2 linked regions of the Schizosaccharomyces pombe genome follow. The protein of the gene in region 1 interacts with the protein of each later gene in a pairwise test. Each region holds a gene or a part of one and is shown on either strand. Other genes may lie near its edges. The genes, in order: nuf2 and alp7.

Region 1 (4,195 bases):
AAGGTAACCATATACTGTAAAGATTCATTTGGAAATTACATTTAAGAAGCTTTGAGTTAAGAACTATCTTTCCTGCTCGTTTATTTACGTTAAATTTACGCACTTATCATGATTGATTCCACGTCCACTGCTACTGCTACCTCAAAGACGGTTGAACTTAACACAAATGGTTCAAAAACCGATGCCTCCTCCGAAAATGGAACAGCCAGCAATTATCCTGAGGGTTTGTGGTGCTTCGACGAAGCCATGAAAATGGACCCAGAAACGACTGTCAAGTTACAACTCGACCACTTAAACAAGTTACGCACTGTCCATGGCCACGCTCGCAATTTTGTGAAAGCTGATAATTCTCGTTTTGTTGATGAAAAGGGTACTGAGCATCTGGACTTAATTGGAGGCGTTGGAGTCGTAACGGTCGGTAACAACAATCAGTATGTTTGGGATTGCTTACAGAAATGCTTTGATGCCAAGTTATATATGATGGGTGCCATTTCCTATCGTAACCTTGCAGCTGCCTTTGGTCGCAATATGGCTTTGCTATCTCCTGGTCAAAAACTTACTCGCACATGGACTGCAACCGGTGGTGCTGAAGCTAATGAGGGAGTTATTAAATTGATTCGCCTTGCTACCCGTTATAAGCCTAACAAGAAAAAGTTTCTTTCTACTTTGAACTCTTTCCATGGTAAAACCACTGGTGCCGTCTTTTTAGGCGGCAAAGAAAAATGGCAAAAATATCAAAGTCCTGCTCCTTTCGACGTTGACTACGTCCCTTACGGTGATGCGGAAGCACTTCAAGTTGCCTTATCCTCTGGTATGTACCGTTCATTCATTGTTGAGCCTATTCAAGGCGAAGGTGGTGTTATTGTCCCTCCTCCAGGTTATCTTGCAAAGGCTCGTGAACTTTGCACTAAGTACGATACATATCTCGTTTTAGACGAAATTCAAACCGGTTGTGGTCGTACCGGTAAATTCTGGGCCTGTGAATACGAAAACATCATTCCGGATTGTATCGCTTTCGCCAAAGGATTTTCAGGCGGACTCATTCCATTTGCAGGGTATATCGCTACAGAGGAGCTTTGGAATGCTGCTTACAATTCCCTTGAAACGGCTTTTCTGCACACTGCCACTTATCAAGAAAACACTCTTGGACTTGCCGCCGGTGTTGCTACCATCGATTATATCGTGCAAAACGACCTTCTTTCTAGATGCCGCAAGTTAGGTGGTATCATGTTTGATCGTCTTAATAAACTTCAAACAAAATTCCCTCATGTTATGAAGGATGTTCGTGGTCGAGGAATGATAGTTGGTATTGAATTTTATCCCATTCCTGAGTCAGTTCAAGAAGAATTCGGCGAATACTATGCAACTCCTATTGTCAATGACCTTGCCGATACATATCACGTCCAAGTCTACTGTTCACTCAATAATCCTTCAGTTTTCCGCTTCCTTCCTCCTTTAACTATTCCAGAAGCCGACTTAGACGAAGGTTTGTCAGCCGTTGAATCTGCTGTTGCAAAGTTTGATGCTAAGGTTAAGGAAGCTGTTGCAGCCAAGTCAACCTAAAACTTTGGTTTCATCTATCATTAGCCCTTTCAGGCTTTTAGTAAAGTTGGGTCATCAGGCATAAATGTTAATTTTTTTATCTTCTTATCTAGTTTCAGCTTTTATATGCTCCTTATATTGTTTCTTGCTTACATGCAACGTTTGAGATAAACCATCGATTGTAAAATTATATAAACTATATAGAACTATTTTAAATCAAATCGTTCACTTTTTAAAAAAGATATATAAAACGGAGTTGTTAATTTACTATGTATGACAGAAGAAAAACTTATACGAAATTCAGCTTTGTTCTTGATTTTTTAAAAAGAATGAAAAATTGAATATCTAGAACATGCAACTAAATAAAAAATTTAAATTTTATTTTATTATATTTATAATTAAATTCACAATCAAAGCAGATTAAATACGTAAAATCCAGTTGTTCAGTTAACCATCAACTTTACCATGGCACGAAAACACACATTTCCTTCTTTGAAGCGTGCTGAGATTTTAGAATGCATAGATGGTCTTGGAATTCCATTCACGGCTAAAGAGCTTGACCAACCAACCTCGAAAGCCGTCATCCCTCTGTATGAAGAATTTCTTGACTTGTTTATGGGGTTGACCCGCCAGAATTTAGAAGAGAAGGTTAATTCGTTACAAGATTCTGTCGAGAATTTCGAGATAATACATGAGTCTTTAAGATTTACTGTTTTTTATCAGATTTTAAGTCAATTCATGCAAAACATCTGTTTTCATGACTTTACGATTCAAGACCTATTGAAACCAGACAGAAATCGACTACAACTAATTTTATCAGCAGTTATTAATTTTGCAAAACTCAGAGAAGAGAGGTTACAGCAATTTGATGATGATATACAGAAGCGAGAAAGCCTTCTGGAAACGTATACCCTTTTAGATGCACAACGAAAAGATTTAGAGGAAAAAGTTTTGTTAAGCCAAGATAGGAAATTGGAAAGTGAGGCAATTATTAAACAGAATGAAGAAAGAAACGAAGAAATGTTTCAGTCTTTGATAGAAGACAAACGATTGTGCTCTCAAGTTCGTACAGAATATGATCGCATTAGAATGGAGGCCTCAGAGTTAAAGATTAGGTATCACAACGTCGATTCATTAATGGCCAGTACTTTGGAAGAAATTGAAAAACTTCAGTCCTCTATTGTACATTCTCCTGAAAAGCTGAAAGGAAAGATAGCAGACACATCGTTACGGATACAAAATGATCGGTCGCAGCAAGTGGAACTGGATAAAAAGTCAAAAATTCTGCATACAAAATTGAACAGTTTACAGTTAATTGAAGGAGACTTGAATGCTTGTTTGAAAGTGCTTGAAGAATGTCTTGTAGAATTGGATAAACTGGAACATGCTACTGTGTTGCTTTCTACAAATCAAGAGCTTTGCGATCAAATAGAAATAAACAAAAAAAAACTTGAGTTCAGAAAAGAACAACTTTTAAAGCAATTATCTAATGCTCAAGAAAAACTCGAGCATGAACAACATTCTCGAAATCAAAAACTTGAGGCTGCCAAACAACGAATGGACAACATACGGGAAGAATACAAAGTAATTACCCAAGAAAGGAATAAAAAGATTCAGGAGACTGAAAAGAAAAATGCCATGATAGAGATGACCGAACAAAAAATTGCTGGAATGCGAGAAGAACTGGAGTCTCAAATATCCTCTATAACTATGGAATTCGAAAAATTGAAATCGCACGTGGAGCTTTATATTGCTGAACTTCTCAGAAACTTAAGGTCTTCTAACTCTTAGTATCTTCATTTTGAAAAATCTTTATTCGTGCAAATATTTCAACACTACCTATAAGAACGTTGGTTGGACTTCGAAGCCAGAATTTTAGATTTTACAGTAAATGTATATAGGTAAATCTTGGTAATTATTAATATTTTATGACTCTATTTATAATATACCTATGGAACAATCCCTATTTTTACAGTCATCTTCATAGCTGAACGTGACAGGATATTGAAGTATAGGATACTGATTATAGTAAAGCTTTTTTGTAGATTCCCAAAATTGGCAATCTAAAGATATTCGATTAACTTTGTCAAACTTTGGTGTTTTGCCTCTTTGCTGACTTCTGAGACCTCTGCCACGCCTTCCAAACCTGATCAAAAAAGCCTCAATTAGAGCCATTTATCATTCGAGAAAAATTACAATGTGGAGGCCTTTAGAAAATACACCAGAGGTGCTGGAACCTTACTTACAAAAAATCGGTGTACAAGATGCTAGCGTTTTTGACCTGTTTTCATTAGAGGAAATCCCCGAATATATCCCTCGTCCTGTCCATGCTCTTTTATTCGTTTTTCCATCCTCAGGAACAAAAACTATATATAAAGGATCACGAATTTTACCAAAGGATAGTGACAAAGTCTTGTGGTACCCTCAAACAATTCCAAATGCTTGCGGAACGATTGGATTGCTACATGCGGTTTCGAATGGAGAACTTAGAAGAAAAGTCAATGAAAATGATTTTATTAAAAGTCTAATCAGAACTGCTGAAGGTTCATCTATCGAAGAAAGGGCTAAGCTTATCGAGGATTCGAAAGAACTTGAAGCTTTACATGCAGCATTTGCTGGTCCACCTTTGGAAGTAGAGGGGTCTGAGGAAGAT
Region 2 (4,783 bases), 680 kb from region 1:
TGGGGAGATATGACAGTATTTTGCAGAGGAGAAGGTGGAATATCAATATTAATTGAGAGGTTCGAACTTTTAGAAGGGCTATTTTGAGAGTTCGAGGGGAAGGTAAAGTCTTTATTACCGTCGAGGTTTACCGTTTTTAAAAGAGGAGGAGTGAATGGTGTGTTTTGCTCACCTGTATCAACGTGCGTTGTTTGAGGAAGATTTGAGTGTCTTCTTCCAAAACTGTTAATCGAAGGAAACACGGTAAGGTTCTCAACTGAATTGTCTAAAGACTCAGATAAATTATCGGAATCAAAATTTTCTTGAGTTAAATAGTTTTCAGCCGAAGGACTAGGTGTTCTTGGTCTAATTGCTGATGAGCTTAACGTATCAGCAGTATGCTTTTGTTTAGGATCGAATAACCAACTACGAAATGTAGAAAGCAAAGAATTACTTGAATCTGACGATGTATGCCGACTTTTTAAAGAATCCTGATTGTTGGACATAACAGAAACTTGAGCGGTTTTTAATGATGGAGTTGCTGGAGCTATGTGTACAGCCGAAGATGAACCTTTATGTAAATGAAACAAACCTTTCTTTTTTTTGTTTTCCTTACGCATTTCTTTTTCTAGTAATAAAAGCCACCATCCATAGAACATGTCACAGCGCTGTTGTGAGATGCTGGCATTAAGTTGATCCATGTCAACACCAACAAATTCAAGCCTTTTACGAACTTTTTCCTCTGCTTTCGAGGAAGGCCTTGGGTCTCGAATAGAAGATGAATGATATCCATTTTCCTTGAAATAGGGGTGAGAGATGATTTGATCGATAGAGGGTCGAAGTCGGTAATCCTTGCAAAGGAGGGATTTCAACAAGCTTGAAGAGTTTTTGGAGAGTGTTTCAGGATATTGAGGACATTCATTGATAATTTTTTGCTCAGTTAAAGATACATCGTCCTCGTCGAACGGGAGCCTTCCTATTAAGAGAGCGTACATAATTATACCCAGAGACCATATATCAACGCATTCACCAATATATTTATGGCCCTGTACTAGCTCCGGAGCACAATAAGCAACTGTACCACAACGTGTGTTCATAAATGTTCTACGGGAACAATCAGAATCTCTAGAAAACCCAAAGTCTCCAAGCTTAACATTGTAGGCTTTATCTAGAAAAATATTTTCGAGTTTAAGGTCACGGTGAACACAGCCTTGTCTATGTAAATACTGAATAGCACAGCATAGCTGCCACATGATACGGCAAGTGGTCTTTTCATCCAGCCTTTTTTCTCTCGCTACCCAGTCATACAATTCACCATTTGGACAATACTCCATGGCAAGATAAATTCGGTCTTCGGTGCATACTACTTCATAAAGCCTCGTGATGTTTGGATGAAGAAGACGCCGATGATGATGAATTTCTCGAGCAAGGATAATCGCTTGTTTCCTGCAAGATGATTTCAGGACAACCTTTAATAAAAATGTTAGCAAGGTACAATCAATTTATTGATGAATAAAACGTTTATCATTCTCATAATGTAATCAACCGACTTTGGAACGGTCAATATTCGCAATTTACGAGCCGTTTATTCTTCTTTTTATAACTTAGAGACATAGTAATCTTTGAATAACCCATACCTTTGTATTTGTCAGTAAATGAGCTGCCAAATAAACTTTTCCAAAGCTGCCTACAACCCATGCTTGTTAGATAGCCGTCCAGTATTGAGCGTTCACAATAACACAAAAGTATCGTACCTTCACCGACAACACTCTCAATGCGATATGTACCGACATCAGAGATACGAGGATTGCAAATTGTTGCAATTAGGTCATTGTATGAGGCCGATATCTGCCATTCATTAGATAATCACGATTTCCCTCTTTTCATATACATACGTTTGCCTTTTCATTTTTCTTCATACTAAAATTTGGCACACATAATATCAAAGGTTGACTTGCAAATTGTTTAGTGTTTACAGTAGGATACTTTGGTGTTATTACAAAGGCTTCGGAGAACAAGCTACCGAAAATTCACCGAGAGCTCGGTGAACTCTTCCCACTCTCTCCTTACTCAGTGTAAACCAGTATGTATGTGCCTTTTATTTACACCACCATTGTACGCCTAGTGTTGAATCAAGACGAAGAATTGAGGGCAATAAGGGGTTATTTATTGGGCATTGTATGACTCAAGTTTGTTATTGAACCATTGTTCTACGTAGGCGGACATCTGACCAGTTTTCAAAAAGTAAAAATAAAAGTTAGCTACTGATCGTTAACTTTGAAACGATAATACCAGCTGTAAAATATTTGAAAAAGGATTTTCTTGTGTATTTATATTTCATATATCTGTTAGTTCTTTATATCGTTTGACGATTTTAAAAAGTCATAACCGAAAATGAGTGATATCGTTTCGAGCTCTACAGATTACAGTAGGAGGTCTCCCTCCTCATCTAGTATTGGGACAAATGAAACTGATCATACGGGTTTTCATGAAAAAAGGCAAGGTGCCTCTTCAGAATCATTGATTCCTCCAGCTCAACGAAGTTCAGAGGAATCCATGCCTGCCCCTAAATTATTCCCTAAGTTAACTTCTAAACCCAATCCACAGCTGAATTTAAAGGATACTCTTAATAAGCGAGTAAGCGATCGACTACAAGCCTTAGAGTTGAATAAATCTTTTGATTTTTCAGGAACCCCTAGACCGATGCATCCCATATCCCATCCTTTGTCACAGCATAAAACGCCAGAATTTAAGCATAGAAAAAGAAATGTAGAATCTATTTTGACGCCGAAGAATCCTTCTTTATTTTCATCGTCCAATGCGGCCTCCCAACGAGGCTCTTTAAATACCGCTCCATCTAATTTTGCATACAGTCATTCATCATCTTTGCAAACATCAGCTAGTTCTAGGCCCCCAGTGCTTTCAAACGGAAGCTTCCCACGTCAAACTAATACGGCGCCGTTGAACCCACCAGTGCATTTGAAAGACAACATTCGCAACTCTGCTACACCATCAACTTCACAGGCCGATATACCTACTCAATACCCAATTAATTCCACTCAAAAGCAGCAAGCGAAATACGAAGCTGAAATAGAGGGCTACAAAGCCAAACTTGCTGGCACTTATCATGAAATTTCCGTACTCCAAAATACAATCGTCAATGTTTCGGGACAATTGATTGCCGTTAATGACCAACTTCAGCAACTTAGATCTGGAAAAGCATCGACTAGTCCCTCCACAAAGGATACCAACATGAGACTTGTTGAAGGGCATAATGAAGAGACATTAGCTCTTCAGAGAGGTAAATATACTCAAGAGGAAGTTGACAAGTTAATTCAAGAACGCATGGAAAAAGTTGCTGAAGATTTACATGCTCAGTACTCAGCCAAGCACACTCAGAAAATTAATGCTTTCAAAGCCAATTATGCTCGAAAATACGAGGCAACTATACAGGAGCTTCAAAATCAAATCGGTACTGCTCCTAATGCTCCAAAAATATCCAACAGTAACTGGGAGGAAGAAAGGCGAGCATTGAAAGCAGACAATCAGACTCTCCAAAAACAGCTGGAGAAAGCCATTCAAGAGCGCCAAGATATGTCAGATTTTTTGAACAATTTTAAAGCTGATATGGCGAAGAGTGATAAGTTACTAATGCAACAACAATCACAACAGACAGGTGATTTGGAAACACTTCGTTTACAACTGCAAGCGCTTCAAGAAGAGCTCCGGGTCGAAAGGGAGGAACGACAACAGTTGATACAAATGAGCGAGGACTTGGTAATTGCAATGGATCAACTGAATTTGGAGCAAAAATCATGATCTGCGCTTTCATTTTTGATAAAAACAATCTCCATAATTTTTTTTTTTTTTTTGATAGAGTATTGCTAATGTATTGATGCCGTTTCCTTTATCCAAACCACTTCTGTATTCTCATGATTAATTTAGTTTCATATTGATGACCCCAGTTTCATGAATACAACCCGAATTCTTTTGATTTCCATTAATTAAGCCTTCTTTTATGGTTATACATTATCTACCAATTTTCGTATATTTATACATCATAACAGTTCGATATACAACCTAATATAAATTGCATATCCACTCTTTCTTCTTTTATTTGTATTATAGATAGAATCAAAACTGGAGCCAATCTCAAGGCTAATTTCTCACATACATACATTAGAAAACGGTGCATTTATTTAATAAATATCCAATTATTATTAATTGCTCGTTCTAGGTGCTGTTTAAACCAAATATTTCTTTCCTGGTCTGTATGTTGCACCTACATCAATCTTACCTATACTGTACATCTACTAAGGACGTTCATTACTCTGTACTTTCCTACAGTATTTGATTAGGGAAGTATTGTTAAGAAGGAAATTAGTATAAAAAATAAGTCAGAAAATTTAGTCGGTTCTTAAACTTGCATTCAATTTTAGTAGCTAACTTAGTTCCATCATCCACGTGTGAAACAGGCTACTGAACACACCAATTGCGCTCTCCTTTTCTTCATATATTTAATTTTCAACAGTAATATTTTATATATGATAATATAACTAAATTGGATATAGTCAAACTACATAATATCTTATTTGAATCGCTTCTAGTTTATTATGGACTATAAGCAACGCATTGAAAAATTTAAAGACATTTTAAATTCGGAAGAGCCAATTTCTCTCCCTGGTTTATGCTCGCTTTGTATTCAAGGAATTCCTGATGAATATTCACTTAGGGCAAAAGCTTGGATGTTGATGCTTGAGTTCCTTCCTACCGATAGATCAAACTGGCAATCAGTTCTAGAAAA

The links.
Region 2: the proteins of nuf2 (region 1) and alp7 interact in binary tests that used the Schizosaccharomyces pombe proteins (3 or more experiments, as listed by UniProt).

Annotation. Positions count from the first base shown.
Region 1 is NC_003424.3:4,321,020-4,325,214, reverse strand, and holds nuf2 (protein Nuf2), read left to right. Parts: upstream 1-1,991; 5' UTR 1,992-2,007; coding exon 2,008-3,333; 3' UTR 3,334-3,695; downstream 3,696-4,195. Other genes in the region: SPOM_SPAC27F1.05C (aminotransferase), read left to right, coding at 109-1,563; ubiquitin hydrolase Uch1, read left to right, coding at 3,740-4,195. UniProt on the Schizosaccharomyces pombe protein: Acts as a component of the NMS (Ndc80-MIND-Spc7) super complex which has a role in kinetochore function during late meiotic prophase and throughout the mitotic cell cycle.
Region 2 is NC_003424.3:5,001,786-5,006,568, reverse strand, and holds alp7 (kinetochore-associated protein Alp7), read left to right. Parts: upstream 1-2,083; 5' UTR 2,084-2,373; coding exon 2,374-3,798; 3' UTR 3,799-4,169; downstream 4,170-4,783. Other genes in the region: serine/threonine protein kinase Ppk16, read right to left, coding at 1-1,448, 1,617-1,666, 1,734-1,827, 1,875-1,898; tbc13 (GTPase-activating protein), read left to right, coding at 4,593-4,783. UniProt on the Schizosaccharomyces pombe protein: Required for bipolar spindle formation and proper chromosome segregation. Has an indirect role in connecting the kinetochores and the plus end of pole to chromosome microtubules by targeting alp14 to the spindle pole body.